Linked DNA regions of Astyanax mexicanus. The protein of the gene in region 1 interacts with the protein of each later gene in a pairwise test. Links are inferred from orthologs where the notes say so. Each region holds a gene or a part of one and is shown in the gene's direction. Other genes may lie near its edges. The genes, in order: ccndbp1, mrpl15, syf2 and c5h22orf23.

Region 1 (8,063 bases):
TATGACAGTGTTTTAGGGCCACACTTAAAAAAAAACAGTTGACTTTAAGAATAAACTCGTAATATTACAAGATTAAAGTTGTAATATTACAATATTAAAGTCGCAATATTATAGGAACAAAGTTATAATATTATGAGATTTAAGTTAGGAAAAGAATACACCACAAACATAAGCCACATAGGTAGAGAATGCTCCATCTACTGATAAACCATAAAACAGAAAGGCTGGTTACAGGTTAGTAGGGTTATGGTTATGTGTGCAGACAGACGGTACATACCAGACAGATACGTCTGTACCAGAATAAGTGAAAAGTGCTTAAAAAGGGCATGCTGCATATGTTTTTGCCTGATTATTCTAATTCAGCACAGGAGCATGAAATTATTTTAGTGAATATTTTATTCAGAGTGAAAAAAGTACATCAGTGCAGTAAATGTGTAAAAGATAGGTGATTGTAGAATAAAGTCTCCTGTCTGGTAGGTCCAGTCACAGGTTAATCAGTATTCCTGATTAAAATTCATGAAGACAAAAGTAAACTCCATGCAAGATTATTGCAAAATTCAATCAGGAGATAGATTAAAAAATGTCCAAGTCACTGAACACCCTCAGGAGTAGGAACACAGTACAATATAGTAGACGTGACCATGCAAGAGGTCAATATTAACTTTATTCTTCTTAAACAATTCTTTGGTTGAACAACTTTTGTGGCTTTTGTGGCCCATTGTCATGCTGCATGATCCACGTTCTCTTGAGATTCAGCTCATGGATAGATGTCTTGACATTGCACTTTCAGAATTTGCCATAATTTGCTATAATATATAATATAATTCTGGATTTGTCCTTCCATCAGTGATGACAATTGTGCTCTCTCGGGGCTCCGGCAGCTGATGGCAAGTTCCAGGACCAGGATTTGAACCAGTACAATCTCCTGATCGTACTGTCACTGCCTTAGTCTGCTAAATCACGCAGAGCCCCCATGTTTATTAGTGGTGATTTACACATAAAATACTAACATTTTGGCCTTTGGTTCCTTAAAAAATGTATGGTGCAGGGAATACAGAGCTAAAACTACAGAACGTGTGTAATGTTTGTCTATTCAAAAGGTTCTGCACAGTATACTGTCTGTTCCACCTGATAAACGACCCATTGATAAAAACTAAAGTCACTAAAACAGAGTACAGAGAGATCCAGAGATAACAGCACTGGTTATTGTAGAGTTTTATGGTCATAGAAATCAGTTAAATGCCTGATTTTTGCATAATCCTGTCATGAAGTTTAGATCTTGTTTTTAAATGCAATATTGAAAAAGGTTAAAATCTAAAACTTTAAAATGTAACATCTCAAAACAGCTGAAAAACAATCATTTAGCAACTTTGAATGAGTTTGTTTTTGAAAACATTACAAACCCTTGGGGACATCTTATCACCACCACTGATTAGGAACGCTGTAGAAGAGCACATGCACACGCTGTAGAAGAGCACATTCCTATTAATTTTTAAAAGCCTGATGGACTTTCCTGTAGGAATTATTAATTCGGTTAAAATGGTGTAGTTCACCCTAGCCCTAATAACCTTTACCACACATTTCAAAGGTTTGCTGATGCAAAATACTCATGTTTACCCATTAAGAAAAGAGGACATTGATTATTACCTCATTAATTACTCGCTATAGTAGTGCTTTAACCAGCAGAGTTCACAACAGATCATTATAGATTAGCTAAACGTGCAACCTGCCAACAGATTAGCTTGAATGAGGCATAAACAAAACACACAAGTAAAACTTAAAACAAGAAAAAGATTATTGTACAAATGAGTCTGTTATCTTATTTATTGAATTATTATTTAGTTCATTGTTTAGTTATTTCTATTTCTATTGTAAGTTATTTTATTTTTTTATTTGAATAAACAAGTCAAAGTCAAAGTCAAAGTCAAAGTGGTTTTTATTGTCATTTCAGCTATATACAGAGTACACAGTGAAACGAAACAACGTTCCTCCAAGGACCATGGTGCACATAAACACAGTGTAGACAGAACAATAGTGCAACAGTACAAAAGTGCAGACAGACAATACAACACAATACAGACAAAGAATAATAAATAACAAGACAGTGTGCAAATTTTGCAGTGTGCAAAAAAGACCAGGTGAGGTAGTAATAAGTCTATATAAGCAAAATTTAGTTTTTTAATATATAAAAGTTTTCTATTTTTAAAAAAATAGATATAGTGTAGTATAAAGGAAAGAAGGAAGGAAGGGCTCTAATATTCTATATAGAATACATTCATATGCTCAGAAACTATATTGCCCATTGACGTCCATTCACAGCTTTGTAGAGACAAGGGCTTTAAACATTGACAGCATCAGACCTGATAACCTCTTTCACAGGGTTGTTATTGTCACGTAGAGCTCAAACCATTGAGCCTGGGGGTTGTTTATCTATATAGAGGTTATTTGTCTAAAAGAACTTTGAGAGCTCGGTTTTAAAAAATAGATCCGGTGGGAGGAACAAATGGCCAATTTGCAAATCACATCATAAACTTCTTGGTTTAAACAATTACTTAGTTCTGCTCTATCGGCTGAGCAACAGCCATCTTTGCACAGACAACCAAGGCTACATAATACAGATAAAATCTGTTATCTTTTACCTCAGTGTTCCATTATTTGTCCACAAACAGTCTGTGTGGATTTAAGCCTTTGTTCTGGCATAAGTAGCATTATGAAACTTTTTTCCCTTTTTCTTACTGATTAAAATCTTAAAAAATAAAATAAAATGAAGATACAACACAGAATTGCCTGCATTTGACCATGATATCAGCTACTTGTTTATACAATGTTTATAAACATTTCAATAATTCTCACACATTTGTGACAAACTGAACATCTTCTGCCCATCTTTGCTCCTCAAAGATTTGTATGCCTTCTGCTTTTGTACCAAATTAGTGTATTCTATTTTCACGCCTTGCCCCTGTGCCATTTAAATAGCAAGTCAGGTAGAATTGAGGTGGGTTTAGGTATATTTCTTAGATATGGAAAACACAGGTGCGCCACTGACTGAGTTGAACCCTGACAACAGTCAACTAACTGTCAGACGTTCATTGCTATCTTGGCATTGCAGGGACGTTGCGCATACACACAACACACGCAGTAGTGCACAAACCCAAATTTTACCTAAAAAAAACTAAACATTGCTGTTCCCGTAAATTACCTGAGCACCTTCACAGAATGAACAAGCAGATCAGCTTCATCTGCTGAGAAGTTCAGAAGCCCTACGCCATTAAAATAGTTATCCACCAAAGACAGAGCACACCTGGCTCTTAAAGGGAATGGAAGTGACATGGTGAATGGATTATTTCACGTTACACCCAAAACACACACCTGAATAATTAAGAAAATTAGCACATGCCTTTTGGCATACTTTTCCTGTTGTTACGATAGCAAAGACACACTGCACAGTTCTGGTGGAGCAAGTGAGCAATGTTTATTGGACATTAGATAATGGTGTTATCTACCATTATGTAAAGTCTCCTTTTACAGAACTGTTAAACATGGGGAAAGAATCGTTATTAGTCATTTTCAATCCAAAAATGAGCTGATAATCCCTTATCTCAGTTATCTGGAACTGGATGTTGAGGTCTGTGTTAAGGTTGGTACAGTACTGTGTTGTGTGTTCTGTAGTGTAAGTCTTGGTATTATTCTTCTTGTCACGCAGTCTCTTTGTGGTGTTGTTGACAGAGTGAATGGGAGGGGGCTGTCGGAAGGTTCAGTCTGTTCCAGGGGGTGTGACAAAGTTCGCTGTTACAATGTGTTTGAACTGAAGACTGGTGAAACATCTTTGACCATTGTTTGAGCCCCTGGACTCTGGTTTACTGGCTTACTTCTCCTACATTGATTAAATTGATTTAATGTATTATATATCTCTATTTATGAGTAAATGGTGCAGTACAATACTACTGGAACATTACAGGTGCCAGTGGCTTTAATGCAGAAAATGAATGCATCTAAACCAGATATTTTCCAGGGACATTTAGAATTTTTTTTCAAGACATTGAGAAAGCATGGCTGCAAAAGAAGAAGTTTTATATAAATTTACTCATGTTCAATGATTTTGAAGCTTTCTGTGATGAGGGAGACATGTCTGTTCAGGATCTTGATTTGTGTTCACCTAACAAAATGGATAATTTATTTAAAAACTGTCACGTTCTTTAAAACGTACATTAATTGTACAGTACCAGTGAAAAGTTTGAGCACTTTTCTCATTCCAAGCAAGTGTCTACTTTAAAGAATCTAAAACATAAAACATATTTTGTTTTGTTTTTCTTTAGTATTAATATACAATGCAGAATTTTTAAATAATGAAATACCACTACAAGTAAGATGTGTCCAAACTTTTTTTATTATGTATAATGTATAATGAATTATGTAATATTATGGGCTGTAAACATTCACGGAATCTGAGAAGAATTATATAGAGCTTAAAAGTTTTGTATTTAATGGCTTAATTCTAAATTTTAATCTTTTTTATGTTTTGGGATTTTTTAGTTGGTGAAATGTGCTGTACATAATACAAATCCAAAATAATTTTCAGATAAACAAAAAATAGGATTCATACATTTTCAAATTTATAAATAAATTATATATATTATATATTATTCACATATATTATTGCAGGTGATTCACATAACTTATGGCCTACATTTTTATATATGTTAAGTTATTCTGCAATAATTTTTAATATATAATTTTAAATACATACAGGAGTAGGCAGTATTCAAATACATACAGGAGCCCCTCATGAACACATTCCGACGGAAACTAACCGGAAGTAGCCAGTGTTTTAGTTCCGCCTGTAGTTTACCTGCATGGATTCAGCTGCAGTTATGAGCGCTGAAAACTCGTGTGGAGATTCTTTACTGCCGCTACGGAACTTATTAAACGCAGTAAAATGTATTAGAGATCGGGTAAGAGGTAAGAGCGGCGGAGTTTCCGTTAATATATCTGATTACTGGTGTGCTAAAAGTAATGTAAACAGCCCTGGGAAACAGCTAGCTTAGCGTAGCTAACGCTAGCTAACTATCCCTTCAGCTGTCAGAAATAACTTACCCTAACGCAGCTTGGTTAGCCAGTTTAGCTAAATTAGCTAACGCTAAAGTTGTCAAGTTAGTGTAAATTAATCGTGTTGGTAGAAGAGACTGTATAACGGCCAAACCATTAAAGTTAACTATAACTAACCTAGCTATACTGGATATTTAAACGTGTTATCTTAAGACTGTTAGTTAGCTAGCTAGCTAGCTAAGTTAGCACTAGCCATCTGGGAATAACACTCTGTATCTAGCTACGTAGCTAACTGGCTATGTTTACTGAGTTGGGCTGGTATCACAGCATGTTTTGACATGATAAGGACTTAGAAGCACTGGGAAAGTCACAGTATGTGACAGCGATAGTGGAATAAGTAACGTTACACAAACCATTCAGTAGCAATACTCTTAGTAATTGACAAACTTAAGTAATTTATAGAAACAATTGCCTCTACATTACTTCATATCATTCACCACTGTTTTAAGTAACTTAACTTGTTCCTCACATTTCTGAATTCCAAATATTATCATTCTTGTCTATTCATCCAGTCTATTCAATACTGCCTTTCCATGTGTCTTTACTGTTCTTAGAGTCCTAACTAGACAAAATCCTTGACTAAACAGTATAGCAAGCAACAGATTTTGTTAAAATGTGAAATCTTAGTATTTGGGATTGAAACAAATGCACTTGCTATCAATTCACTGATTAATGTGTTGTTAGTACTGTGTATCACTGATGTAGTGCTATTAGATGTTAGCTAATAGTTCTTTTGTTGTTTTGTTTTCAGATGGAGAATCAAATGAGTCTAACGGGGACTTTAACTTACCAAACTTCTGGGAAACGATGAGTTGAGTGTCCTCATGTTCACATTTACTAAAAATATATTTTGGTTTGTGGCTTGTCTAAGGAATAATCCAACTGAAATATGTGTTTTTCTCTACTCCACAGCTCAGACAGTAAAGGCTACTTCACAAGAAGCTACAAAACTCAGTCTAGCCTTCTCCAAACCCCCACTTCCATCAGAGCAAGTACGTCAGGCTATTGCCACCATGTGCTATAGGGGTGGCAAATTTTTAGATTCTTATATGCATCTTGATTTAGATGTGGATGATTCTGAATCTATTCACAAATGCAAAAAACAAAATAGATTCAGATCAATACATACATAAAATATACACTGTAAGCACGGATAAGTTGAATTTACTTCAAAAAAATTGAGGAAACCGGTTGCCTTAAAAAAGTTAAGTAATGGGCAATAAAAACTTAGGTTAGCATAACTTAGAACATCCCAGTCAAACATCCCAGTCAAACTCAGTTACATTAAAATATTATTATTTAAAAAGCATCAAAACTGCCCTGTGATATTAAAATACAGTAAAAACCCTCTATTATATATTTTGAATAACAATGACTCTCTGGTCTCATTCAAGGATTGTGAAGTGTTAGCAGAGTCCATTCAGAAGAGCATTCTGGCGTTATCTACAATTTATTACTGGCTGCCTAAGAGTGAAGGTAAGTTGCTCATTCTAATCACTAATTTTCCTGTCTAACTAAACACAACATTCTACATAGATTTCAAGGCAAACATGATAAAATCAGATATTTAAGTTATGTTTTATTATTGCCTGTTAACCAAGAAATCGTGGCATTTTAACTGTGTGATTTGTATTCAAGACACATACCGGTACCTTAGAGGAATAATTGAGTAAGTGAATAATTCAGTATTACCTGTGACCTCTAGCAGTGGGTTTTCTCTAGGCTTTGAATTCTAACTACAAAATAGAAATTCAACACTTAACTCAATAATCAACTCAAGACCTTTCCTAAACAGCAAATGCAATATTTTTGTTAAACCCTTTGAATCAAAGCTTTAAACCCTTAAATCCATTGAGGTTACACTTAGACACAAAACTGCAGAAATTGCATCATGGTCCAAATATGTATATATGGAATTTGGTTTTATACAGGCATTACTCTGCGTAAGCTTGTCAGAGAAGCCACTGTGGAAGTTTTGGATGGTGTTGTTCAGCTGCTGGAGATCCTCCTGTCTTCTCCTTTACAGAGGTATTTAAAATGGTCTAATTTCAAGGCAATACATCTTATTGTTCATCTCTGATAATAATTGTTGTTGTATTACATTACATTACATTTAGATAATGATCTTAATGAATCCTACTTAGAATTTTCACCGTATTTAATTTACATAATAAAATAACTTGATATATTTACTTATTTGCTTATTTGTTTGTTCTAGTTTATCTCAGGAACAGCTAACATCTACAGGAGGTGTCTGGGCAGCATGTGATCAGTTTGCTCAGCTGCCAAGGGGTAAGTTGGGCTACGTTAATGGCTTTTATTAATGCCTTGAAAATAAATTTAAACACTGTTTTTTTACCTTCAGGTGTTTGCTTTCTGAACAATTGTGTGTATGACCTTTAATTTCATTAAATTCTTAACTTAGAAATCTGTATGTAGAATTTCCTTGTCCGTTTTCCCAACAGATAATCGCACTGCAGTGTTACATGTATTGAGTTCATATGTTGGAATGGTGAAGGATGCGCTAGAGGAGATGAACCAGGTGGGTAGCCAATTTCTGGTAGAGCATTCGTGCAAAGTGCAGAGTCCTGTAGACTCTAAATCTAATAACTATACGTCTAAAAACTATTCCCATCCTTTGTGTTCTTCCTGTAGGCACTATCTGAGGAACAGGACCCTTTCAATGATGTCCTGGATGATGATGAAGATGACCTTGATGCCCGTGGAAACCAAGACACCTACTGGTCCCAGAGTGACCGGCAGCTCATTTCTAAATGTCTGGGTCTCATTAAGGCTTCTGGAGCATGTCTGCGGAAATTATCCAGCGCTGTTAATAAAAATGGAAAAGTCGACACACCTCACAGCGTTACTCAACTAGACGACCTCGCTGATATCACGAGAGAAATCAGCCCAGGGTACGTTTTTTTTTAAAAACATGAATTATCTATTGTGGGATT
Region 2 (7,730 bases), on another chromosome or scaffold:
GATGTTTTACATCTTTTGAGACCCAGATGTTTTAGTCCCAAATATTTTTAAACCAACATGTTTTTAAACACAGATGTTTTTGGACCCAATTATTCTTAGACACATACATTTTTAGATCCAGATGTTTTTAGAACCAAAATGTTTTTAGACCTAACGCTAGATGTTTTTAGACCCAAATCTTTTTTTATGATCCAGATGTTTTACATGTTTTGAGACCCAAATATTTTTAGACCCAGGTGTTTTTAGAGTGTCAGTCTACTACAGCTCCTCACATACCGAATAAACATGAAGAAGAATGAATGAGCACCTGACACAAGTGTACTAGAGTCACAGTAGCTCTAGTGTGTTTAGGGCCCTGAGGACAGGTGTTATAAATACACAGCCGGGTTCCTTTACGCTGACTTACCGCCGCAGTGGCTTTCCGGGCTGCTGGGACTATCGCGGGCAGCGGCGCTGACATGTTATTACCGCACATACACCGGACCGGAGCGTTACATTCAACACGAGAAATCACACCCCGACTCAGCCCGCGGGCCGCCGACCCCAGCCTCCAGCCTGACAGCACGAGACCGAGCTGTAGAAACACCCGCGAACTGTGTTTCTATTATATAATTAAATCAGTGTAAATATAAACGAGTCCGGCGGTTATCTAGCGCTGCGTGTCCGGACTGACCGTCTCTCCGTGTCCGCGGAGCTGAAAACACGCTAGAGAGCCGCACCGTGACCCTCCGCTCGTGTCCTGCTCCTACACAGCCCGCGGGTCTCAGATCAGCCCGTATCTCAGCTCACAGTTAACCAGCGCTACAGATAACTGACCCTGGATCAGCTCTACTGCAGCACCCGAACCACCCACCACACGAACATTTACACAGGAAGTCCCGCCCCCTGCCCCTCAGTTTTATCGAACCGTGTCCTGATTGGTGCATTTGCAGTTATTTTCCATGCGTTCGTCCTGATTGGCTCATGAGCTGCACGTGTTTGCCTGCGGTGTTGAGGAATTTAGCTACAGTAGTGCAGCATTGGAGGATGGTGTCAAACAATTAACCTGCTAACATTATTTCAGTGAAACCCACAGGGAACATCTTATTCTCCAGCTTCTTTAGACTCTTCCACTTAATTTATTGATCAGTGGCTTTTTATTAGCGAGTTTTATAAACAATAAAGTAACATCTGTCCTCCATAGATAAATTTAAAGAATATGTTGCAGCTTGTTTAAGCTTGTGGAATAGCAAACTGACAACACTGACACTGGAAAGAGGTTTAGAACATTAGATTTTTTTTTTTTTTTTTTTTTTCAAATTAAACAGTGGAAGTCTCTGTTAACTCTGAACCCATACACATTTCTGGCTGATTTCTGTTCAGTGAGGATATTGTGGCGGCTCTGGGTTGTGTGTGTGTGGCTGCCTGTAGGCATGTTTCTGTTCTCCTGTGTGCGAGGATGACAGGGGTGGGGCATCTCCCTTGGGAGGGGTTATGCAGAGAGGGTGGGCACCACTCTGGATCTGCCATCTGGGAGACACACAGCTGGGTTGGTGGCCTTTGGGCTGTTTGAGCTCTGTGGGGGAATGGTCTTAGCTCTCCTAGTCTTGTTAAAAACTGTAAGTGAGTGGTAAGCCTGTTCAATAAAGGAGCTGTTGAGCATTCAGCATGAGTCTCACGGGTCTTCCTTCCTCTTCCACGCCACAATATCATTCATGTTTTTTTTTTCTTATCGTGGGCACATGGCTGTAAATACTTTAAAGCTAAAATCCTGATGTAACACAAATGACAATATAAAAATTTCATAATTCATATTTTACAATTAAATATATTTTAAATCTAGACATCAGATCAACACAGCTGGATCATAAAACATTTAAATAAGATTTTTTTATTATTGTAATAATTGGAACAGAACTGTAGAAAAAAAGCATAAATCAATGAGTTTTATCTCTAGAACTAACTCAGACTCCTTATTTTGTCAGCAATGTGATGAAACCATTGATAATCTCTTAAAGGAATATATTTATTGTTAAGAAAATAGTTTCAGAAAATAGTTATTTTTATTCAGATTTTTTTATGTATTAAAATGTGAATAGCAAAATTATATAGACATTACAAATAAATAACTCCTATATTCTTTGTTTTTAATCTTAATCTTGCAATCTAACTATATAACTTATTTAAAGAGCAATTTATACTCTTGAACTGTGTTCCACTTATGATCAAAATGACCGATACAATCCCTTTTGTACAATGTACTTCGTTAAATAAAGATACAAATAAAACAAAACAAAATATATATATATCTTTTCAAAACCAAAGCATTTTAATGAATTGTCCTAAACATAAAAAATGTGTGTTAATTTTTGTACAGTGAAAAACAATAAATATACATAAGTAAAAGGCACTTGAATGCATTTACAATAGCATCTTGATTTTGTAGACAATAATTGCTTAGTATTTTGCAAAAAGTGAAAACAAAATGTTGTATTTGTAGTTGTAACATTTGATCTTATTTCTTTTTCAGCTTTTATTGTTATGCTAATGAATATCTCAACAGAGTATAAATCCTGTAATTACATGCAGTTTCTATTACCACTCTCTTGTGATGATTATCAGACTTGATATATTGTAACGTTAGTTTACATTAGTTAAACTAACCTAGCTAACACGAATGAAAAAGTGTCAGCATTAAGAGCCCTGTAAAATACACTCATTAGAAGCCGTGTTAAGATTCATGGACCAATTTCATTTAAATAAAAAAATGCATTTAAAATGTTGTGTTGACCAGGATTATATAAAGTTTGTGTTTAAATTCTAAACAGAATTGAAGAAAGCAAAATAAACGGGTGTCTCATGTTAAAGAGGCGAGAATCCGCGCTCTAAGTCTATATGGGGATGTAGCTCAGTGGTAGAGCGCATGCTTTGCATGTATGAGGCCCCGGGTTCAATCCCCGGCATCTCCATGAGGATAATTTCTTTTTTATAATGGCTCATAAATCTTTTGCAAAAAACGCATAAATCATGTATTTTGCCAGAAATTACCGGGTAAAAAATATTCACCCATTTGTAATTTTTCAAACAGCACTCAGCAATTCGTATTCATAGACAGCTGGCAACAATCACTGATTCTTTTGACCGACTCCATGTAACGTTATTTATATTTTAATTACACGGTGGCGTAATAAATATATGCATATACATATATTTGTACTTTTTATAGTTTTACAGCTTTTCTGCTTAAATGTTTTTTTATTGGCGCTAAAGGAGAACTGGTTTATGGAGATGATATGAGTGAAAAACGCTAGAGGGAGCAATCGACTGAGTCCTGAATGAATGTGGGTCAATGGTGCTAAACGGCTAAAAATACGAATTAAAAAAACTAACTACCTGTTTGTGTAGGAAATGTATTCCTTTTATTAAAGTTTAATAAAGTATTTAGCTAAAATATCCAAAGACACCTACACGTGTTTGCCCTTTTTATACAATAAAAGGGTTTTGCAGCGAGGATTGCTGGAGCTAGAGTTTATTTAATTATTTATTTAACCTTTATTTAACCAAGAGGTCCCATCAGATTAAAATCTCTTTTTTTTGAGGGAGACCTGGGCAAGACAGCACACCATTTACAGGTAAAGAAAGTTAAAACAACGTGTTTAAATAAATAAAAAAAACTTTAATATAACCACAAAGAAAAACAGTACAAAACAGAATGCACTTATGAGTAGAAATTGCATGTTTCCATCACATAATTCTTTACCAAAGTTTAAACCCACTCAAGGAAGCCAATTTGTTTTGAAGGTTATTCCAAGACCATGGTGCAAAACAGGAGAAAGAGGTTCTGCACCTTGTATGGAAGTCTCAGAGTGTAATAAATTCAAATTCGATTACATTTAAAACGCTAGTTAGACTGTTTTACTTCCATAACCTTGTAGTTGAGAGGCGACTACACCAATATGATGGGAGTTTGCCCAACAGATCTTCATAAATAAAAAAGTTAGTTACCAGTGTTGCTGTCTTCTCCTAACCAGAGTTGAAAAGCTTTCCAAATTCTGTATTTGGTACTGAAACATGTTATAATGTTTTAATTTCAGGAAACGAGTCCAATTTACATTATACAATGTATTCAACATTTTTAAATCTCTGATTTGTTCAGTTAATCATTTTAATCCCATTCGTTTTGGACTCATTTGAGCGCGCCCTCTAGTGGTCCATCTACCAAACAAACAGACCCAGAAGTGGGATTTCTCCTCTCGGGCTGAACCACGTGCTTCTCCGCCATGACACTCGCCCTTGAAAGTTGACGGGTGCATAGATGTGTGTGTGAGACTGTGTGAGAGTGTGTGAGTGGGTCAGAAAAATGTCTGTATCCAGGACTGGAGGAGGAAAAACTCTGGATATAGTGAAGAGTTTACCGCGGATAACACTAGCCAATCTTAGACCCAATCCTGGAGCGAGGAAGAATGTAAGTGCTGGTGTTGTGCTGGAGCTCTCTGTAATGTTAGCTAGCTAAGCTAAGCTAAGCTAACTAGGCTAGCTGACATTATATTAGCTTCTAAGTTAGCATCTCAGCCAGTCCAGCTCAGTGTTGTACAGATATTCTGTTTATTAGCTGTAGGTCCAGGTTTAGATATATCTACAGTGTTACAGTATTCTTTCCATACTGATATTCTCTTCATCCCTGCTGAAATCTGGCAACCTTTAGATGATTAGAGGCCAAACCTGGTCTTTAATGGTCAAGGTGGCTGAGAAGCTGGTCATGCAGTAAAAGAGCTCTGTACTGGTAATCCAGTTGGGAAAACTAGTTTTTCACTGTACATTTCACCTGAAACGCATTTGTGATTTTTAGGCCTGTCATGATAAGATTTTTTTTGTAGACGATATGCCTTCCCAGAAATTATTGGTATAAACCATATTATTGTCATTTTAAGAATATTAAATACCACTGCAATACTGAGAATAGAATAGCATAACAAAGCGATTATACCCCTTTAAAGTCAACTTAATTTTAATTTATCATAGTTTGGGGAATATATACTTTCTTGCTGTTATGCAGCTCTGGATTTTACCAAATTGAAACACTCTGGAATATTATAACCAAGAGGAAGATGGATGATCACAAGCCATCAAACCAAGCTGAACTGCTTGAATTTTTGCACCAGTAGTGGCATAAAGTTATCCAAAAGCAGTGTGTAAGACTGGTGGAGGAGAACATGCCAAGATGCATGAAAACTGTAGAAACTCCATTTCTCATTTTCTGCAAATAAATGCTCTGAATGACAATATTTTTTATTTTGTTTGAGCAAAATCAGAGAAACTAATTCAGAAACTGAAATCGTCTCTTAATTTTTTTCCAGAGATGTATAGTGAACAAACATACAAATAAACACATTAGACAATATCACGTTATTGAGGTCATGTCCATTTATTGTACGACAACTCAATATTAGGAATATTTCAATCACAATTTTTCCCTCTGAGTGAGTTTAAGTATCTACCGATACTTTGGCAGTGAAGAAAAAAAAGAACCCATGCAAGTTGTTTTGGTTTCTTTTTTTTTTTTTTTTTAGCTTATTTTTATATATATATTTATTTTTTATTATTATTGAAACGATCAAAACATACCATTTTATCACAAAAATGTGTTTGTGAAAATCTTATATTGGACTAGGATAATAATTTCTTAATAAATATAATAGTGTAAACTTAATGCATTAAAATAAATCTATTGCATTTTTTTTATTTACTTCTACATTAAAACCAAAACCACTAGTGGAAATATCAAGCAGTGAATGTTTGATTAATCAGAGAGACTATATCAAGAACTCAAATAAACACTACGCCTGTCACAATAATTACATTATTAACTTATCATACAATACATGGACATGACCTTAATAATATGTTATAATCGTGGTCATGATTGTGTTTATTTTAGGGATGTCCCGATCCGATTATGTGATTGGAAATCTTGGCCGATCTCGTAATTTTCAAAGGATTGGAATCGAGTGGAAAAGATTCTGATTCAGATTCCTAACACACACATACACACACACAAAAACATAGACACACACTATGATGCTACACTGGCTGATATTTTCTCCATTAAAGCTCTCAGTTAAACTCAGTAACTCAAATTATTACAATATTAATACAATACGTACTAACATGAATATAATTAAATTTGTCCAATCTAACACTGATTCTTTTATTTACATTTAAATATCCATTTATAAAAGCTTAAACGCTGGTAGGCAACATTGTTTAAACATACATGTAATGTTTAATATTTGCATTTGTGATTTTATAGTTTTTGTTTCTTTCAAGTAAATAAAAAAAAAATGCCTTAAATATATTGTTTCCATTACTATATTTAGTAAGCAACTATTATCCTGGCATAGCATAATTGACAGAATAGAATAATCCTATTGAAACCAACCCATATCAAATTTGTGCCATCCTGTTCTGTCTGTTTTCTTACATACTGAAGCATTGCAGATGATAGATTCACCATGTCTGTGGCCGTGGCTCATATATCTACCATGTGTGTTAACAGGAGAAGCGCCGGGGTCGTGGTATGCATGGTGGGAATAAGAGTGGACGAGGACACAAAGGTGAACGACAGCGTGGGAACCGTCCACGTCTGGGCTTTGAAGGGGGACAGACCCCATTTTACCTGATCATTCCTAAATATGGCTACAATGAGGGACACAGGTAAAATAAAAACATTTGCGGTTTTACCTGTTTTTCCTTAATAAAAGAAATTTACACTATCTTAACCATTATTATATTTTTCTCGGTGTGTTTTTTCTTTAGCCTGCGGCAACAGTACCCTCCACTGTCTCTGCGGAGGTTGCAGTATTTGATAGATTTAGGCCGGATAGACCCGTCTCAGCCTATAGACCTCACCCAGCTGGTTAATAGTAGAGGGATCACAATCCAGCCTCTCAAACGAGACTACGGTGTTCAGCTTGTAGATGAGGTATGTTCACATTCACAGTATATTTTACTTTCAGGAAATCATCATTTCACCAGATGATGGTTTGTTCATTTGTTAGTATCATTTGTTTAGACAACACAACTTGTCTACACACTGTAAAGAAATATTGGCAAGAGAATAAGCCTCTCTAGAATCATTTATTATAAATCTACTTGTGTATGAAATCTCTGGTATAATGGTTCTCCATCCAGTATATTTGAGATGAGCTAATAATAACACTGATATTAAAACAAGCAAATAGTAAGCAGGTGTATCAAAACTTTTGTCCATAGAGTGTATGTGGTTCAAAATATACATTGATTTGGGTTTTCTTGATTTTGGTGTGGTTTATGACCAGGTTTTATTATATTTCTCAGCTACTACTATTCAGGTACTTCTGGGTTCAGTCTGTTATAAAACAAAAATCACTCATTCTGGAAATATTGTTTTTAGGCTCTGAAACAGGTAGGCATTTTGATTTGGCTTTAATCTTTATTAGTAATCACATAGTTTATAGCACCTAAAATACTATATTGTAGTACATCTATTTTTAGGGTTTGGTTTTATATAGTGTTTTAGCCTACATAAATAACATGTCACTGTTAAAAAGATTCCCCTTCATATATACCAAGCTGCAATATGTAAGGAGTCAGATTGTCCAGAAGGTGGCAGCAGTTAGTCATATGTTAGATTCTAAAGTTAAAAAGCTTCTGCATCCTGAGGAGACTTGACTAACATGTTTCTTTCTCTGTATTTAAAAGGGAGCTGACAT
Region 3 (7,641 bases), on another chromosome or scaffold:
GGGGTGTGATTAACTGTCCAATGAGCATAGGCACAAAAGAGGTGTTTCCAATTATGTGGCCAATCCATGAAAAAACATGGTAGATGTTTCCAATAAACTGGACATTGAGAGGAAGTGCAAGGTAGGTGTTTCCAATAAAGTGATCAGTGAGGAAGCACAGAGTCGGCGTCTACAACCAAGTGGAAGCATGGAAGTATAAGAAAGACTTTTTTAAAGGAGTGGTTCACTACGAGGAACTGCATATATGGTAGTGTAGTTGTTTCTAATAAAGTGGCCAGAGAGAAAGCACAAGGATGGTGTTTCCAGTAAAGTGGCCAGTGAGGAAGCACAGACTCGGCGTCTACAACAAAGTGGACAGCGTGGAAGTATAAGAAAGACATTTTAAAGGAGTGGTCAGTGAGAGGAACTGCATATATGATACTGTAGTTGTTTCTAATAAAGTGGCCAGAGAGAAAGCACAAGGATGGTGTTTCCAGTAAAGTGGCTAGTGAGTAGACAAACCAAGGTAGGTGTTTCTAATAAAGTGGCCAGTGAGTGGAATTACAGGGAAGGGGATTTAAAAAGAGGACCGTTTTTTTTCAGATAAAAGTGGTCAAGGAGGAATCACATGGTAGGTGTTTCTAATAAAGTGGCCATTGAGTGTATAAAATAAAGTAGATATTTCTAATAAAGTGGCTAGTAACTGAAGGTGTTTCTAATAAAGTGGCCAGTAAGTGAAAATAACATGGTAGAGGTTTCTAAAAACTGGACAATGAGTGGAAACATAAGGACATAGGTGTTTCTAATAAAGTGGCCAGAGAGAATGCACAAGGATGGTGTTTCCAGTAAAGTGGCCAGTGAGTAGACAAACCAGGGTAGGTGTTTCTAATGGCCAGTATCTATGTGTATTAATATTATATGTGTATTTCTAATAAACTGGCCAGTGCGTAGAAAAAACAAGGAAGGTGTTTTTTTAAATAAAGTTACAAGGTTTCAAAAAAGCGGACAGTTTTTGGAAAAACAAGTTCAGGATATTTATTAAAAGTGTACAAAATAAAGTAGATATTTCTAATAAAGTGGCCAGTGAGAAAAAAAAAAACAAGGTAGAGGTTTCTAAAAAAACTGGCCAATGAGTGGAAGCATATGGAGGTAGGTGTTTCTAATAAAGTGGCCAGTGAGTGTAAACACTAGGTAGGTGTTATACTTCCAGTCACTGGCCACTTTATTAGAAACATCTGCCATGTACTTTGATGTATAGTCTATGTCTAAAACTGTATCTCTGTTTTCCATACAACACTCTTTGGGGTAATTGAATTACGGTTCTCTTTCATCCAGAAAGACTGAGGCCACACACACACACACACACACACACACAAAACATAAATTGCCCCCATACTGCATGTACAGTGTTTGCATAATATCCATACTAGACTACTACTAGACCTTCCATAAAGGATGCCAGTACTGTAAAAAAAAAAAAGCAAAGTAATGTGCTGGTTAGCATTTATGCTAATCCTTTTAGACATATTTCCATTGTGATTTTCCTGCCACCCAGCATTATAGTGCACTCAGGAAGTAGCTCGTACAGCTGCCCAACATCTGCTAGCGCACAAACATCGCCGCCAATAAAATCATTCCATTTCCTTAATTACTATTTCTGTAATTTCCGCAGCCAATGAGCGAGGCCTTATTAATGCCTGGCCAAATCAAACACGACCCCCGGACTCCGCTAGCTGCAGCGCCAGGAGCCAGCCGGTGCCAACGCACGCCCCAGCAGCAGGGAAATCCACCAGCAGACGCACACTGCTGTTCACCACTCGTACAGCCTCCGTGTAGCACCCTTTCATGCTTTCGTTCACGCCCATTTAACAAAATGAACTGCTACTGAGATTGGCTCGATTACCTCCACCCAGATTAACCCCACTTCCATTACCAATAGATCTGAGGCCTTCAACATACAGTATCTGTTCGCACATGTTCTTCCCAGTAGTGTTAACTTTACTCCACTTTTATTATGTAACAAAAAATACACAATACAAAAGTATGTAAACATACCACATTTACTCCCATAGCAAATCTCCATCTGCCTTCCCTGAACACAGCAATGACAGCACTTCAAATTATGAATAATATTGAGTTTAGGTTTACGAGAAAGTCCTACCTTGTGTTTCCTCACTGGCCACTTTATTAGAAACACGTGGCATGTGTTTCCAATCACTGGGCACTTTATTAGAAAATCTTCGGAGAATCTTTGGCTTCAGCCACTAGCAAGTAAATGGAACTTCATAATGTAGAAAAAAAATGACAAAAAAAAGTGAAATAGAGAGCTGTCACACACTGGCACCAAAGGCACACCTTTTCCTCCTATACCTTTGTCTACCAGTGATCTCTCAGCTTTGGACATCGCCCCTTAACTCCCTTATACTCAATCACCTGAGTATCGATTTCACCTGTTCACCTCTCTATATGGACCCCTGCACTTCACTTACTCCCTGCCAAGTACTAGATCTGGTTCTGTCTGACTATACAAATCATTTGTCTTGCCCGTGTATTGTTTATTCCATGTTTGATCCATTTTTTTGGTGTGTGTTATCCACTATGATTTTTGAATACTGCCTACTCTTTATCGGCCCCGAATGTCTCGCCATTCTTAGTATGTTATCTGCCTTTCGTGTTTGCTTTCTGTTTTACTACAGTTGTGGATAGTCTTTATTAATTAAATCCGTGCTTATCTCATACCTGCCTGGTCTTGTAAGTTATACTGATTGTTTAGCTTGCACTCTATAAATACTGTACTTAAAATTGTACGCTCTTAAAAAATAAACTAGCGAATGCTTTTGGCAATAGAGTTGACCCCTCTGGTATCACGTACAAAATCAAGTCAAGTCAAGTGGGTGGATTAAATGTACTGTATCTACCTCACTCTTTCCTTGTGTACAGTGATGCAAAAGCCTGAGCTGATGGGGGTCTGGATCCGCTGTGTTCAGCTTTGTGTTGTCGTGCTACAGCAGTGACGCTTCCATCTGGCGTACAGTCAGAGTGCATCAGTCCATTAGCAGTGCCTCTGATCTGGAGATTGCTTTAATCTAATGCTGTAAACTCTACTTAATTACATCCTCCAAAACAGCGCTCTTAATTATAACAACAATAATCCTGCAGGAAAAGCGGCCGTGTTAGAACAGGACTGCATGCTAGCGCTAGCAAAGCACCGGAGCGAAGACGAGGGCCTCACTTTTGAAGTTCATGACTGGGTTCATCCTTTCCGCTTAGCCATTAACTGAAGTTAATATACTGTCAAATCCAGCGTTCATCATGCTTCATCACGTGGGTGTGGGATCAGATCTTCTGGAAGTGATTGTAGTGTTATTTTAGAAACATTAATTATGAACTTTTTAAAATCTAGCTTATTGTGTAGGTATAACCAGACATGTACACAGCAAAATCGACTATTTAAGAGTTGAATTTAACACTGTCCTAGATAACATATGGTCCCACTCATTATAGTGTTAAAATAACCACCACAAGAGTCAATTTTTTTAGTTAATTCAAAACCGTCATGTCATACATTCAACGCCGAGTCATATTTTTAACATATTTAATTATTATCAGTGTTAACACATTTTACCCCACAGAATAAAACAACTCTCAAATTGTTATTATTTTTGTTTAAGTTCGTTAAATTTAATTATGTATTTTTTCTAAACTTCACCCAAAATTATACACCTCTAGTATCTATGAAGCATTATAAAATGTGAGCTATACCACAGAATAAATTACTTCTTTAACCTATCTAAGCTGTATGTAGAACCACCACAACTAAATCCCATTTAACTACTTACACGTATAACACACACACACACACACACACACACACACAGTTTATCACTGAGGGCTTTTAGAAAAACTCCCAGAGATTTAGAACATATTTACACTGTGATTTTAACACTGTGGATTTTACTTTGTATGTAATGTATTATTAAATGAATAATAAAAAAAAAAATATATATATATATATATATATATATATATATATATATATATATATATATATACAAAAATACATATAAATATACACAAGTTTGATTAAGGTAGAGGTAGAGGTTTCTAATAAAGTGGCCAGTGAATGTAAACACTGCCACTTTATTAGAAACATCAGCCTTGTACTCAGATGAGTGTAAGTTTGATTACAAATTATGAATAAATAATTCTATATGTAAGAATATAAAACTACTACTTTATGCACTACATTATGTAATATTCATAAATAATGGAAGGGATTTGTATAATTAAATGTACTTTTTTGTACTATTTAAACTATTTTGTTACATGCTGAATTTGTGAAAATAAAAATATTGAAGTACTACCTTAATTACTATTTATGTATTTATTACATTTATACGCTTGTAGATTAAATGTATATGAATACTATGTTAATCATCACAATCAGTGATGGTTTGGAGAGCCACGTTACCTGCTGCTGCTGCTGGTAGGAACTGTAGTTTCCTCGGGCAGGTTTCTCCACGGCGCTCTGTGCGGCGGACCGAGCTCTCTGCTTACGAGTGTTGTGATCATGGCGTCTGGCACAGAGGTAAAAACATCCTAATAAAATCATTAGAACGCGGTGATTTATAGTGTTTTATAGCTATTTTACTTCATCTGTGTGTTCTTAACCTGGTGTAGAGCTGATTAACGGTGAGAGAAGTCGTTTTAAAGGTTAAAAGCGTGTTTTCCTGGATAACGGACAGACCGCTAACAGCTAGCTTAGCTTAGCTTAGCTAGTGAACGTAAGATATGAGTTAAACTCAGACTCGTAACTGTTATACAATGTTTAAATTAAAACGAACTTATATCCGAACGTTTTATTTAAGGTTACTTAACGTGTTGTTTTAAACTTCCCACTGTTCATTTAACTAATATTTCTTTACTTTAACGTTCCCACCGGGCCTTTAGCCTTGGAAAACCTAGTTTAGGAAAATAGTAACGTTAAGTAACTTAGTTAACTTAGTAGTAGTTAGTTAGTAGTAAGTTTCTAGCTAGCTAGTTAACTAAAGCAACATTGGACAGAGCGGTTTTAGTCATTTTTAACATTAACGTTACATTTATTGTGTTTCTACAGAGCTCTTTAAGTGAAATGTTTAAACAAAAAAAAAACACGGTGTATGGTCACGACTTATTAAGGCGTGGAAACGAGATCCTAATGCTTGGTCACAACTTATTAATGCGTATGAATGAGATAATTATGTAATTGCCAGATAGTAATAAAGCTTGATTTTCTGTACATTAATGCCCATAAAGAAGATTAAATATTACATCAAAACACCAATCCAAGGATTATCTTTTGTATGAAAACGGAAAGTGAATTGCTGCTGCTCCAGCTCAGCCAATCAGCTCTCTCTCCTGCCCTGCCTCTAAACACATACATCACCCAGTGCCCCATCCAAACTACCCCTTTTTCAAATTTGAGCTGAGGGTGGATTCAGCAAAAAATAGGGGGTTTAGTACCCTTTAAAAAATAACTATAACTGTAACCAATATAGCTATTGCATGCACACGTATCTTTTAAAAAGTTTTGAATTTGATTTATATAAATCCATTTTGCCTGCTGTGTTTAGCCATTGAAATGAACTTTATAATGTTTTTGCAGTGATGTTGTAGAAACCTTTTATGTGAAACAGAGCATCGGAGCTGTGTTATAAGAGTATTGATATGCAGTGATATAACAGTTTTTTTTTTTTTTTTTTATATATAAGCACCAGCTCATATGTATTGTGCGTCTGCCACAGACTCTAATTCATCAGTCTCATTAATTCTTTCTTAAAGGTGTCCACGCCAGTCATTGATGGTGAGCCAGTTGAGACTGCGGCATCCCAGAAGAGAGAGGAAAGGCTGAGAAAGTTCAGAGAGCTTCATTTTAAAAGGGTAAGCATTTCATCGCCATTATAGTCAATACAAGACTTATATTTACTGTGTGTGCTGGGCACAGATGGGATTTGGCCTCCGCTTTAAACCCACCTATCCAGTGAACACAAGCATACACACTAGTGAGCACACTAGAGCTAGTCCATAATTCCCAGGGTGCCTGGGGCCCTAAAGCAAAATTCTGATTAGGGGCCCACTGACCTGAGCAGTTGCAGCTTGCCAAACCTGGGTATGAAACACAATCTTGTCATATGCTGGTGTTGATCCACTGTGTTTTATTATCAAGTCCAAAGTCAGTGTCGTTTTGTTTTTCCACAAAATCTTACAGCACTTCATGCTTCTTTCTGCTGACAATGTTTATGGAGATGCAGATTTCATTTTCCAGCAGGACTTGGCACACTGCCCACACTGTCAAAAGTACCAATTGGTCTTGTATAAAATTCTAGTTTTCTGAGACATTAATTTAAGTTTTTTTTTTTTTTTCATTAGTTGTTATCATAATCATCAACAATAAAAAGTGTTGGTAATTATATGGCTAAACTAAGCTTGGAGCAGAATAGGGATCGGGTCAGCATTTGGCTCAACAGCATGAATCCAGCAGCCCAGGCTGGTGGAGGTGGTGCAGTGGTGTGGGGCATGTGTTTGACCTCTTTTGCGCCTGTTTGTACCAATAAATCCTCAGTTAATCATGTGCATCTTCTCACAACCACAATTTAACCACCTTGTAAAGTCTGCTTCAACTATGATAATGCGCCGCACACCAAAGTAAATGTCATTTCAGTTGGTTTTATGAACATGACAATAAGTTCAGAGTTTTTTTATTGATCTTTTTACTCACCAAAACTGCATCTAATAGATGTGGTAGATCCAGTGATTCGGAGCGTAAAATTGCTTTGGAACAATCAGCAGTAATTGTGAGACAAAATCATGCCAACATGGACCAGTGTGTCTTTTTAGCAGGAAATGGGTCGCATACTCCTGCTTTATCTTCTATTAACTGTACATTCTAGACACCTTTTGAATGTGGGGGAACATGGAGATTCACAGCATGAAAGTGCAGTCTGGGTCTTGGGTTTCATCCATTTAGATTGCATATTAGCAGATAGAGACATTAAACAAATGTTGTGTTTTACAAAGTGAGAATATATATATTTTTTGACATGTTTTTAATTGTTATTATGTGTGTTTATGTGTCTTCCTGAAATAGAATGAGGCTCGTAAGCTGAATCACCAGGAGGTAGTGGAGGAAGACAAGAGGCTGAAGCTTCCCTCAAACTGGGAGTCAAAGAAGGCCAGACTCGAGTATGAGCTCATGGTGGACCAGAAGAAGAAGGTAGGTTTATGAAGACTGTTTGCCAAAATCGTTCCAAACCTTTTTACAGTTAAAGGTTTCCTTATGGCAAGTATGCTTGAAAAATAGTTGTATTTATTTAATGGTGTACCAAGTATTCTGTGCTTGGTACTAGGTATGTACCATATTGTATTGTACGCCATAATATCGCTGACATTTTTGAATATGGTGAACAATGTTATATCCTGAAATATTGTGCCATATCACCCAACCCTAATTATCACATCATTTCACATTTTATTTTACTGTTTTAGCAAAAGCAATACACTGTTCTCATTTCCTTTTATATATCTACTAGATACAGATTATTTATGTCCAGTATCATTTATTTTACATTAATTCTGGATATGTAGAGATATTTGGAAAACAGTATTGCCAAGAGTATCAGTATT
Region 4 (7,638 bases), about 24 Mb from region 1:
TCTGTCTGTCTCTTTCTGCGTTTAGAATCAGGAGAATGGCTGTGAGCGACCTGCCCTGCTGGAACTAGAGAGATTTGTGAGTATTTTTGTTCTCGTATTTCTGACACTAACCCTTCCTGTCTGACACTATGTATGTCCTCCTTTTCTTTGTGCTTCCTATGCGGTTTGAACCAGCCTCACTCAGCTGTCAGCTATCGTATCTCAAACATGCTCTCTGTCTCTCACGCCCTCTGGCAAAAAAATCATTCAGCCTTTTACTGATGCAGTCTGTCATTCAGCCCACTGAGAGCCCAGGAACAGGATAACCAGTAACCAGTTCAAATAATAATGACAACTTGGGCCAATAAATCCACAAGATGAAAATCAGAGAAATAACATGACAGTGGCTGAGGTAATAGACAGATTGACACTTTATTTTCAGATCCACAGACTGAAATTGGTCTTGCATAAAAATAGCAGCTCCGTTAGGACACAGTGCATTACCAGCACAACACAGACCAAAAAAAACATAAATATTTAATTTGCATTATAACACCCTTGATCATTTTGGATTAGGCTCCATGTTCAGTTTAAGGATTGACTGATGTATAAAGGCCTGCTTCAGTCTTACATAATTAAAACATGGAACACAGCATTTTGAAGTGTCCAGACTTTACAGATGTGGACAAGCAGCTGTACCACACAGCATTACAGTACTGCAGAACACTCAGAATAACAGCAGTAAAAAACAGTAGGAGTAACTGCTCCATCTGCTGGAGTTGCTCCAAAAGATTAGAAAATCCGGGCTGTCCAAGTAAGTTAATTATGTTAGCAAAACAGTGTCACCTTAGTATTTTAGAACATATTTTAAAGTTAAGCAGTAATCGCCTGTGTATAGAGTGAAAAGTAAAGCAGAACTCACACAGTCCTGAGGTGCACCGACATTAATTGATATGGCAAAAGAAAGTGTTTGTTCACATTATGCTCATGCTCAGGTTGTTAACTAGAGTAATACAGGTCTGAATCATGCTTGATCATGTCTTTTTGTGTGCCACAGGAGAAGAAAGCACTTCAGAGGAAAGCATCAGAGCTCGAGGATGAGCTGAAGGTAATCTGTGTTTAGAAATCTAATTATCTTCACACCCAGCTGTTCTTTATAGCTGTGCTTAAAGTGATGGTCTGATCAGATCTATTAGCTGACATATGGTTTCTGTTTTTTATCAATAGCCGCACAACACATATCACAAGGCAGGTGTCGAAATTCAGTGTATTATTATGTGAAATACACAGACATGCCAAAAGAAATGGGACAGGAGCTAGTATTGTGTCATAGGGAAGCTAAAGATTAAAAAATTAGAACTTCCCATCCATCAAGCACTTACTATTAGCCCTCACTCCAACTGCAATAATTCATTTTACTTTGTCTTGAGCACACTGGACAGTGTTCAGCCTTAGTCACAAGATAACACCTTAAAACAGATGTGAGCATTCTCAAGCCACTGAGAATGCCCTTGAGTTAACACTTTATAATCAATTTAAGCACAGATTACACAATACTATTCTACAGTCCCGCCCTTTAAAGCTTAATCCATAGCAGGCCATAGCACATGTCTCACTCCTCCTCCTTCTCCTCACTCTTTCTCTCCTTCTCCACAGATTCTTGTCGATCTGCGCGCTGACAACCAGAGGCTGAAAGACGAGAATGCTGCGCTCATTCGCGTCATCAGCAAGCTGTCAAGATGAGCCCCTGTATCCCTGTGTGCCACCATTGCCCTGAAACCACTAGGTGGCACCACTGTCCCTCTCTGCCCATCTCTGCCCAGAATAAACTGGAACAATGCATTTCTCTTTTCTGCACAGCCATAACACACAGCACCTGTGCGTGTATGTGTGTGTATGCGTGCGTGCGTGCGTGTGCGTGTGTGGGTATGTGTGTGTATGCGTGCGTGCGTGCTTGTGTGGATCTGGTCAGGAGTCTGACCTTTATAAACTGCTGTTGCACATTTTATCGGTGAAGCCCAAACAACAAAAGCTAGATTCAGCATAACCAGGGTTCAACGAGCTTCACCTCATTGTGCACAATTGTTAGGACATTTGAAACTCCTTAGGGTGTAGTTTTCTCAAGTCTAGGACCTGCAAAGCTGCAGTTCTAGTAGAACAGTTCTAGATCTTTCCGTGCTTTGTGCGAATTCTAGCTGCATGTAGTTTAGCGAACTTTAACTCTTGACCCAGCTCTGCTGTACTTCTCAAACCTCAAGCTAGCACAGGATCATAGACGTCAAGTCTAGTTGGGCTAATTTTAAGGAGTGAAGTACATACTTGAAGTACGGCGGTATGTAGAGGAACTTGCAGGGTGCTTTTTTTTGTTTTGTTTAGTTTTTTGTTCTGTATATTTAAATCAGATTAATTCTTTTTCGTGCACTGTGCTTGGTTTATTATTATTATTATTATTTTTAACTTTAACCTTGTAGTTTAACACAAAACTAAGCCAGTACAAGGTTAACAATTTCCTCTTTTTTTTACTTTGCTTGTAAGCCAGCTGTGGGTTATTTGCTGTTTAATAGCTAGTTTTTGCTCTGACAGTGCAGAGAAAGCACATCATCCCATCAGGTGTTTTTAAGCTTTGAGGGCTTGACCTAAAGAAGTGCTTGTATTGTTAGATACCACAGAAGAAGAAAAAAAACGTGCCAAAACCTGAACCTCCATCCACTCCTGTGCATCCAGCTTGCTGGTTGGCGGCACGCCGGGACGAACGAGGGATGTTTTTTCCTCTGTGTCTGTCTCTCTCTCTCTCTCTTTTTCTTTTCCTTTCTCTCAGGACAAGCCTAGATCAACACTGTACTCGAGCAGACTGCTACTGTATGTTGGACCAAACAGGCATTTGCATTATTGCTGTTTTTCCTGTTTTTCAGTGAGCGAGTATTTATGAGTGTAAGTGTATTACATGGCCTGTGCCAATGGTGGTGTTTAATTTTTTTTTTTAAGAAGATGAACAGGAACGTTTATACTGTGAGTCCTGCTCTCAAAGGAACAGGCACTTTATAAGGTCAAAGCTTTTGAAAGTTTACCACCTTTTTTTTTCCGCTTCCGATATTATTGATTGTTTTTCATTTGTAAGCCAATGCATGCCAAAATTGTATTTTGACAAAAATATGTGCCTTTCTACATATCTATTTTAATATTTCTATGTTGCTTGGTTGAAAAGTACTGGGCTGGCTGGCCCAATAGCGCTATAACAAGACTCTTCTAACACTCCACCATCCTACAACCCCCTCCCCCAACTGGCTCTGCCATCGTTCTGTGAATGGACATTTTTGAGACAACCAATAAAATCTCAGTAAATAAAACAGTTCAGTACCAGAGCTTTGCCCAGACTCCTCTTTTAATTCATCTCATTCTTTCTTTATCTGGTCATGGTTGTGGTGAACTCATACAGAGCCAAATCAGGAACAAAAGTTGTGGTAATTTGAAAACAATAATGAATACAGAACGTTCAGGTCTTAAAGCTTGAATGTTGATACGATAGCTACAATAATATATTTAAAATAAAAAGACGTGTAGGATGTTTTTAGCTTTCATATAATTTTGATTAAACTTGTTTAAAATATTTTTTTGTTTTTACTTTCTATTTTGTTTTAATGGTTGAGGTCTTATTTTTTCTGGTTATTTACTTTTTTACAGTTTCTTGTTTTTTTTTCCACTTTCAGACTTTTGTCCTTGAATATTGATAACAATATACAAAATGCACAAAATTCCAACATTTAGAAAGAAAATGTTTTTTTCATGAGAAAACCTTTATCCTTGCTGCAAAACATTATATTTACAGAGTAACAGTCATGAAGAATATTCTTAAGTTCTTTATTTTTTTCGCTGTATAACAATATATATAGTTTCTTTGATTTTACCAAGTTGAAAACCTCTGGAATATAATCAAGAGGAAGATGGATGATCACAATTCATCAAACCAAGCTGAACTGCTCGAATTTTTGCACCAGAAGTGGCATAAAGTTATCCAAAAGCAGTGTGTAAGACTGGTGGAGGAGAACATGCTGAGATGCAGGAAAACTGTGCTTAAAAAACAGGCTTATTCTATTCTATTTTTCAGGGTTTTTTTTTTACTATTTCCATTTTTATTTTTTTTCATATTCTGTTTATATTTTTTACTTTCAGTCTTTTGGGCTCGATTAATGACAACACAGCTAAATACAATCTAGCAGTGATTTGCTAATACAGTTAAAAAAATTACATAAAATAAAAAAAAAACTAAAATAAGAAAACTTTTATTCCTGCTGCAAAACATTATGTTCACAAAGTAACAATCATGAAGAACATTGTTAAATTCTTATTTTTTCCCTGAAGAAATATATATATATATTAAAGTTAAAATATATATATATATTACTGGGGAGAAAAAAGTAGCGCACTCTGCTGGTGAGGAGTGAGATTACAGCGCGCTGTTTTCTGGTAACCCATGGCAACATCGACCCTTCGCAGACTGAGCCGAACTGGATGTTGTGCTAAAACAGCGCGTGAATCAGCAGCTGTAAACTACCAGCTACCTAAACAACCAGCTAACATTTTTTTATAACATTTAAATACTGTAATTAGATTATATATAGACAGAGAGAGTCCGGGGTTTAATTGAATCAGTTTTTAAAGGTTTGAGGTTTTGAGCTGCGGGCCTCACTCACTCTGAGGATGGACGGAGGGTCTGCGGCGGAGTCCAGCAGCAGCGGGGGTCTGTGGAACTGTCCCAGAGTGAAATACAGCAACGACACCAGAGAACTCCTACAGTGTGAGTAAATACAGCCAGATACAGCGCTGGAAAAAATTAAGACACATGAACATTGTTGTTTTATTCTATAAACTACGGACAACATTTCTCCCAAATTCCAAATGATAATAATAATTATAATAATAGTTTTGTCATTTAGAGCATTCATTTGCAACAAAAAATGAGAAATGGCTAAAATAACAAAAAAAAAAAAATGCAGAACTTTCAGTTTTTAAATAAAGCAAAGAAAACAAGTTTACATTCCTAAAGTTTTATGAGTTCCGAAATCAATATTAATATTATTCAACAGGGTAGAATAACCCTGGTTTTTAATTACAGGTTTCCTGCATCTTGGCATGTTCTCCTCCACCAGTCTTACACACTGGTTTTGGATAACTTTATGCCACTCCTGGTGGAAAAAATTAAGCAGTTCAGCTTGGATTGATGGCTTTGATTATATTTCAATTTGGTAAAATTAAAGAAACAATATTTAAGCGGTCTCATTCCATTGTTTTTTCATTCATTATAAAATGTCTAGTTGTGGTCTCCAGTGTGAATGAATGCATTTATTACTTATAATTTTTGTTTTCTGATCCACAGTAATGATGCGAGAATCAAGACTCACCAGTTTCCAGCAGCGTCAGCTCAACAACCAGCTCAAGAGTAAGATTATTCAAGTGAATAATGTTCGGAAATTTCACTCATATTTAAAAAAATATGAGTGCTATTCGGAAGAAGGATATAGGTTACAAGGAACAATGAATGCTAAAATATTTTGACTGATATGTGCAATATTCCATGTGTGCCGTTTTTTGTGAAAAAAAAAAGTGCTCAGGTGTTTCTATTTAGCCCTGTTTTATTTAACTGAATTAGTGGTCTCTGAAGAAAGACAGGTTTTGGCTCTTGCACAAGAATATTCATTCATGCAAATATATCAACTCTGATTGGCTAACAGCGCTGCAGCTGCCTACCTGCCTTCCCCCCACAGTCAATTTTACAGCTCTAAAACTCAAACAACAAAATGTTTCAGAGATACAGCTTTAGTTATAAAGGTATTGCACTTAGTGCTAGGTAAAGTTAACCCTTAAGTTTCACTTAACGTCAGACTCGAGTGGCTACACAACCGAGAAAAGTTATCAACTCCCTGAGCCGAGCCCGCCCCTGCGACTCTTCTTCCACGGCCGCATGGATACCTCCCTTCTTGATAACGTTTCTTTCAGCTAAACTAATGCTACTACACTCTTGCCTTACAGCCAATCTCAGAAAACTAGAATATATGAACAATTGGTACTTTTGGCAGTGTTGACAGTGTGCCAAGTCCTGCTGCAAATGGATATTCGCATCTTGATAAAAGTTGTCAGTAGGGTTGCCAACCGTCCCGTGAAATACGGAATCGTCCCGTATTTTGGCAGTAAAATACGCATTCTATATTCTGATTGGCTCAACGAGAGTACATCATAATATACAGCCGATGGATTGGCAAGCGTAAGAAGTACCATGTGTGGCGTGTGAGCGTGTGAACTCGCTGAGGTGCGTGTGACACACGCTCAAAGCGTGAGACTTGAGAACACTGTCTGTAATGCTGAATTTTGTTTGTTGTGTGTGTGTGTGTGTGTGTGTGTACCAGAAGGGGGAGCCTTACCGCTGCGCTGTAACCCCACCTCCTCTGCCCCACCACTGCAGGCTCAGCCTCAGCCCAGTCTCAGTAAGGGTCGCGCTCTGTCAGTCAGGCCGCAGAGACGCAGTGCTGAGCAGTGCAGTGCTGGAGACAACTACACCCGAGAGAGATTCCAACCCAGTGCAGCACGTCTGTATCCCACATTCCTGACTGTTACAGCTTTCATAACTAGACTCTCTTTACACAGAATCGAGTATCGAGTAATCGATAATTAGTAACAGTACCACATTACACAAAGTGCTGGGGACAGAAGCGCAATGGGAGATTGATAAATAGCTTGCTCGCACAGTTTACACTCAACTTAGTCTGTGTCTCCAAATGTGCCCAAACTCAACAGATTACCTATTTAATCATTTCCATATTTTAACAACATCTAGACATTTAAATGCATTTTAAATCTCTTTCATATATACATTGTTACATTTACACATTAAAGATTTATTCTTGGTGTGTTATTTTCTGCATCTGCCAATCTGTGGTGATTTGTACCACATCAGTTTACTTGCTAAATTTAGTCCCTGTACCAGGTTTCTGCTCAAAGACCTTTAAACTTTAACAGTACATTTGTTAACGATAACACCTGATAAGCAGTGATATAACACTACTCCCAATCTTCTGGCTAATAGGAGATCTTGAGAAGGAGAAGCGCAGACTGCAGAATATCTTCGCAACAGGTCAGGAGGAGCCACAGCTCTCTGTCCCACAAACACAGCCTCCCAAGAGAGCAGAGGAGACTCACACAGACAGGTTCCAGGAGGGTGAGATGAATTCTAAAATCCTTAAACGTACCATTTAATTATAATAGATTTTTTTTTTCGAGAATTATTGTTGTTGAATATTATTGTAATCAATTACAATAATTCAGTCAATAATTCATGAGAGTAACCAAAATTATTGCTGACGGCAAAGCCCGCTGATATGTTGCTATATAGTACGTTCAACCTGCAGTTTGCAATTTATTAGCTTACACTTTATGCAGACAAAACATTCTATCCATTTTCTCTCAGTTCTGGATGAGATTGAAGAGAGGAGGCAGTTCCTGGAGGAAATGACTGCTCTTGGAAGGGGGCGCGACTACAATCACATCATTAACTTTGAGATTTCTCAGGTAAAAACACAGCAGAGACACCATACATCAGTGCTTATTTTAGTAAAAAGTTTAAATTGAAACATTACATACAAACTTGCTAAATGCAAAACGTACATC

What was found.
Region 2: the proteins of ccndbp1 (region 1) and mrpl15 interact in binary tests that used the Homo sapiens proteins (3 or more experiments, as listed by UniProt). The two-hybrid records come from large-scale screens. The link is inferred for Astyanax mexicanus from reciprocal best matches to the Homo sapiens genes CCNDBP1 and MRPL15.
Region 3: the proteins of ccndbp1 (region 1) and syf2 interact in binary tests that used the Homo sapiens proteins (3 or more experiments, as listed by UniProt). The link is inferred for Astyanax mexicanus from reciprocal best matches to the Homo sapiens genes CCNDBP1 and SYF2.
Region 4: the proteins of ccndbp1 (region 1) and c5h22orf23 interact in binary tests that used the Homo sapiens proteins (3 or more experiments, as listed by UniProt). The two-hybrid records come from large-scale screens. The link is inferred for Astyanax mexicanus from reciprocal best matches to the Homo sapiens genes CCNDBP1 and C22orf23.

Annotation. Positions count from the first base shown.
Region 1 is NC_064412.1:55,153,767-55,161,829, reverse strand, and holds the start of ccndbp1 (cyclin-D1-binding protein 1 homolog), read left to right. Parts: upstream 1-4,787; 5' UTR 4,788-4,853; coding exon 4,854-4,959; intron 4,960-5,857; coding exon 5,858-5,917; intron 5,918-6,018; coding exon 6,019-6,098; intron 6,099-6,500; coding exon 6,501-6,582; intron 6,583-7,037; coding exon 7,038-7,134; intron 7,135-7,324; coding exon 7,325-7,398; intron 7,399-7,571; coding exon 7,572-7,648; intron 7,649-7,761; coding exon 7,762-8,021; intron 8,022-8,063. UniProt on the Homo sapiens protein: May negatively regulate cell cycle progression. May act at least in part via inhibition of the cyclin-D1/CDK4 complex, thereby preventing phosphorylation of RB1 and blocking E2F-dependent transcription.
Region 2 is NC_064415.1:35,333,933-35,341,662, forward strand, and holds the start of mrpl15 (39S ribosomal protein L15, mitochondrial), read left to right. Parts: upstream 1-4,244; 5' UTR 4,245-4,339; coding exon 4,340-4,444; intron 4,445-6,535; coding exon 6,536-6,693; intron 6,694-6,795; coding exon 6,796-6,961; intron 6,962-7,719; coding exon 7,720-7,730. Other genes in the region: lypla1 (acyl-protein thioesterase 1), read right to left, coding at 407-475.
Region 3 is NC_064414.1:4,250,064-4,257,704, forward strand, and holds the start of syf2 (pre-mRNA-splicing factor syf2), read left to right. Parts: upstream 1-4,459; 5' UTR 4,460-4,549; coding exon 4,550-4,567; intron 4,568-5,799; coding exon 5,800-5,898; intron 5,899-7,105; coding exon 7,106-7,231; intron 7,232-7,641. UniProt on the Homo sapiens protein: Involved in pre-mRNA splicing as component of the spliceosome.
Region 4 is NC_064412.1:31,270,614-31,278,251, forward strand, and holds the start of c5h22orf23 (UPF0193 protein EVG1), read left to right. Parts: upstream 1-4,440; 5' UTR 4,441-4,522; exon of another isoform or gene 4,523-4,638; 5' UTR 4,639-4,677; coding exon 4,678-4,774; intron 4,775-5,353; coding exon 5,354-5,416; intron 5,417-6,380; coding exon 6,381-6,560; intron 6,561-7,057; coding exon 7,058-7,189; intron 7,190-7,438; coding exon 7,439-7,539; intron 7,540-7,638. Other genes in the region: ppp1r12c (protein phosphatase 1 regulatory subunit 12C), read left to right, coding at 26-76, 1,037-1,087, 1,636-1,722.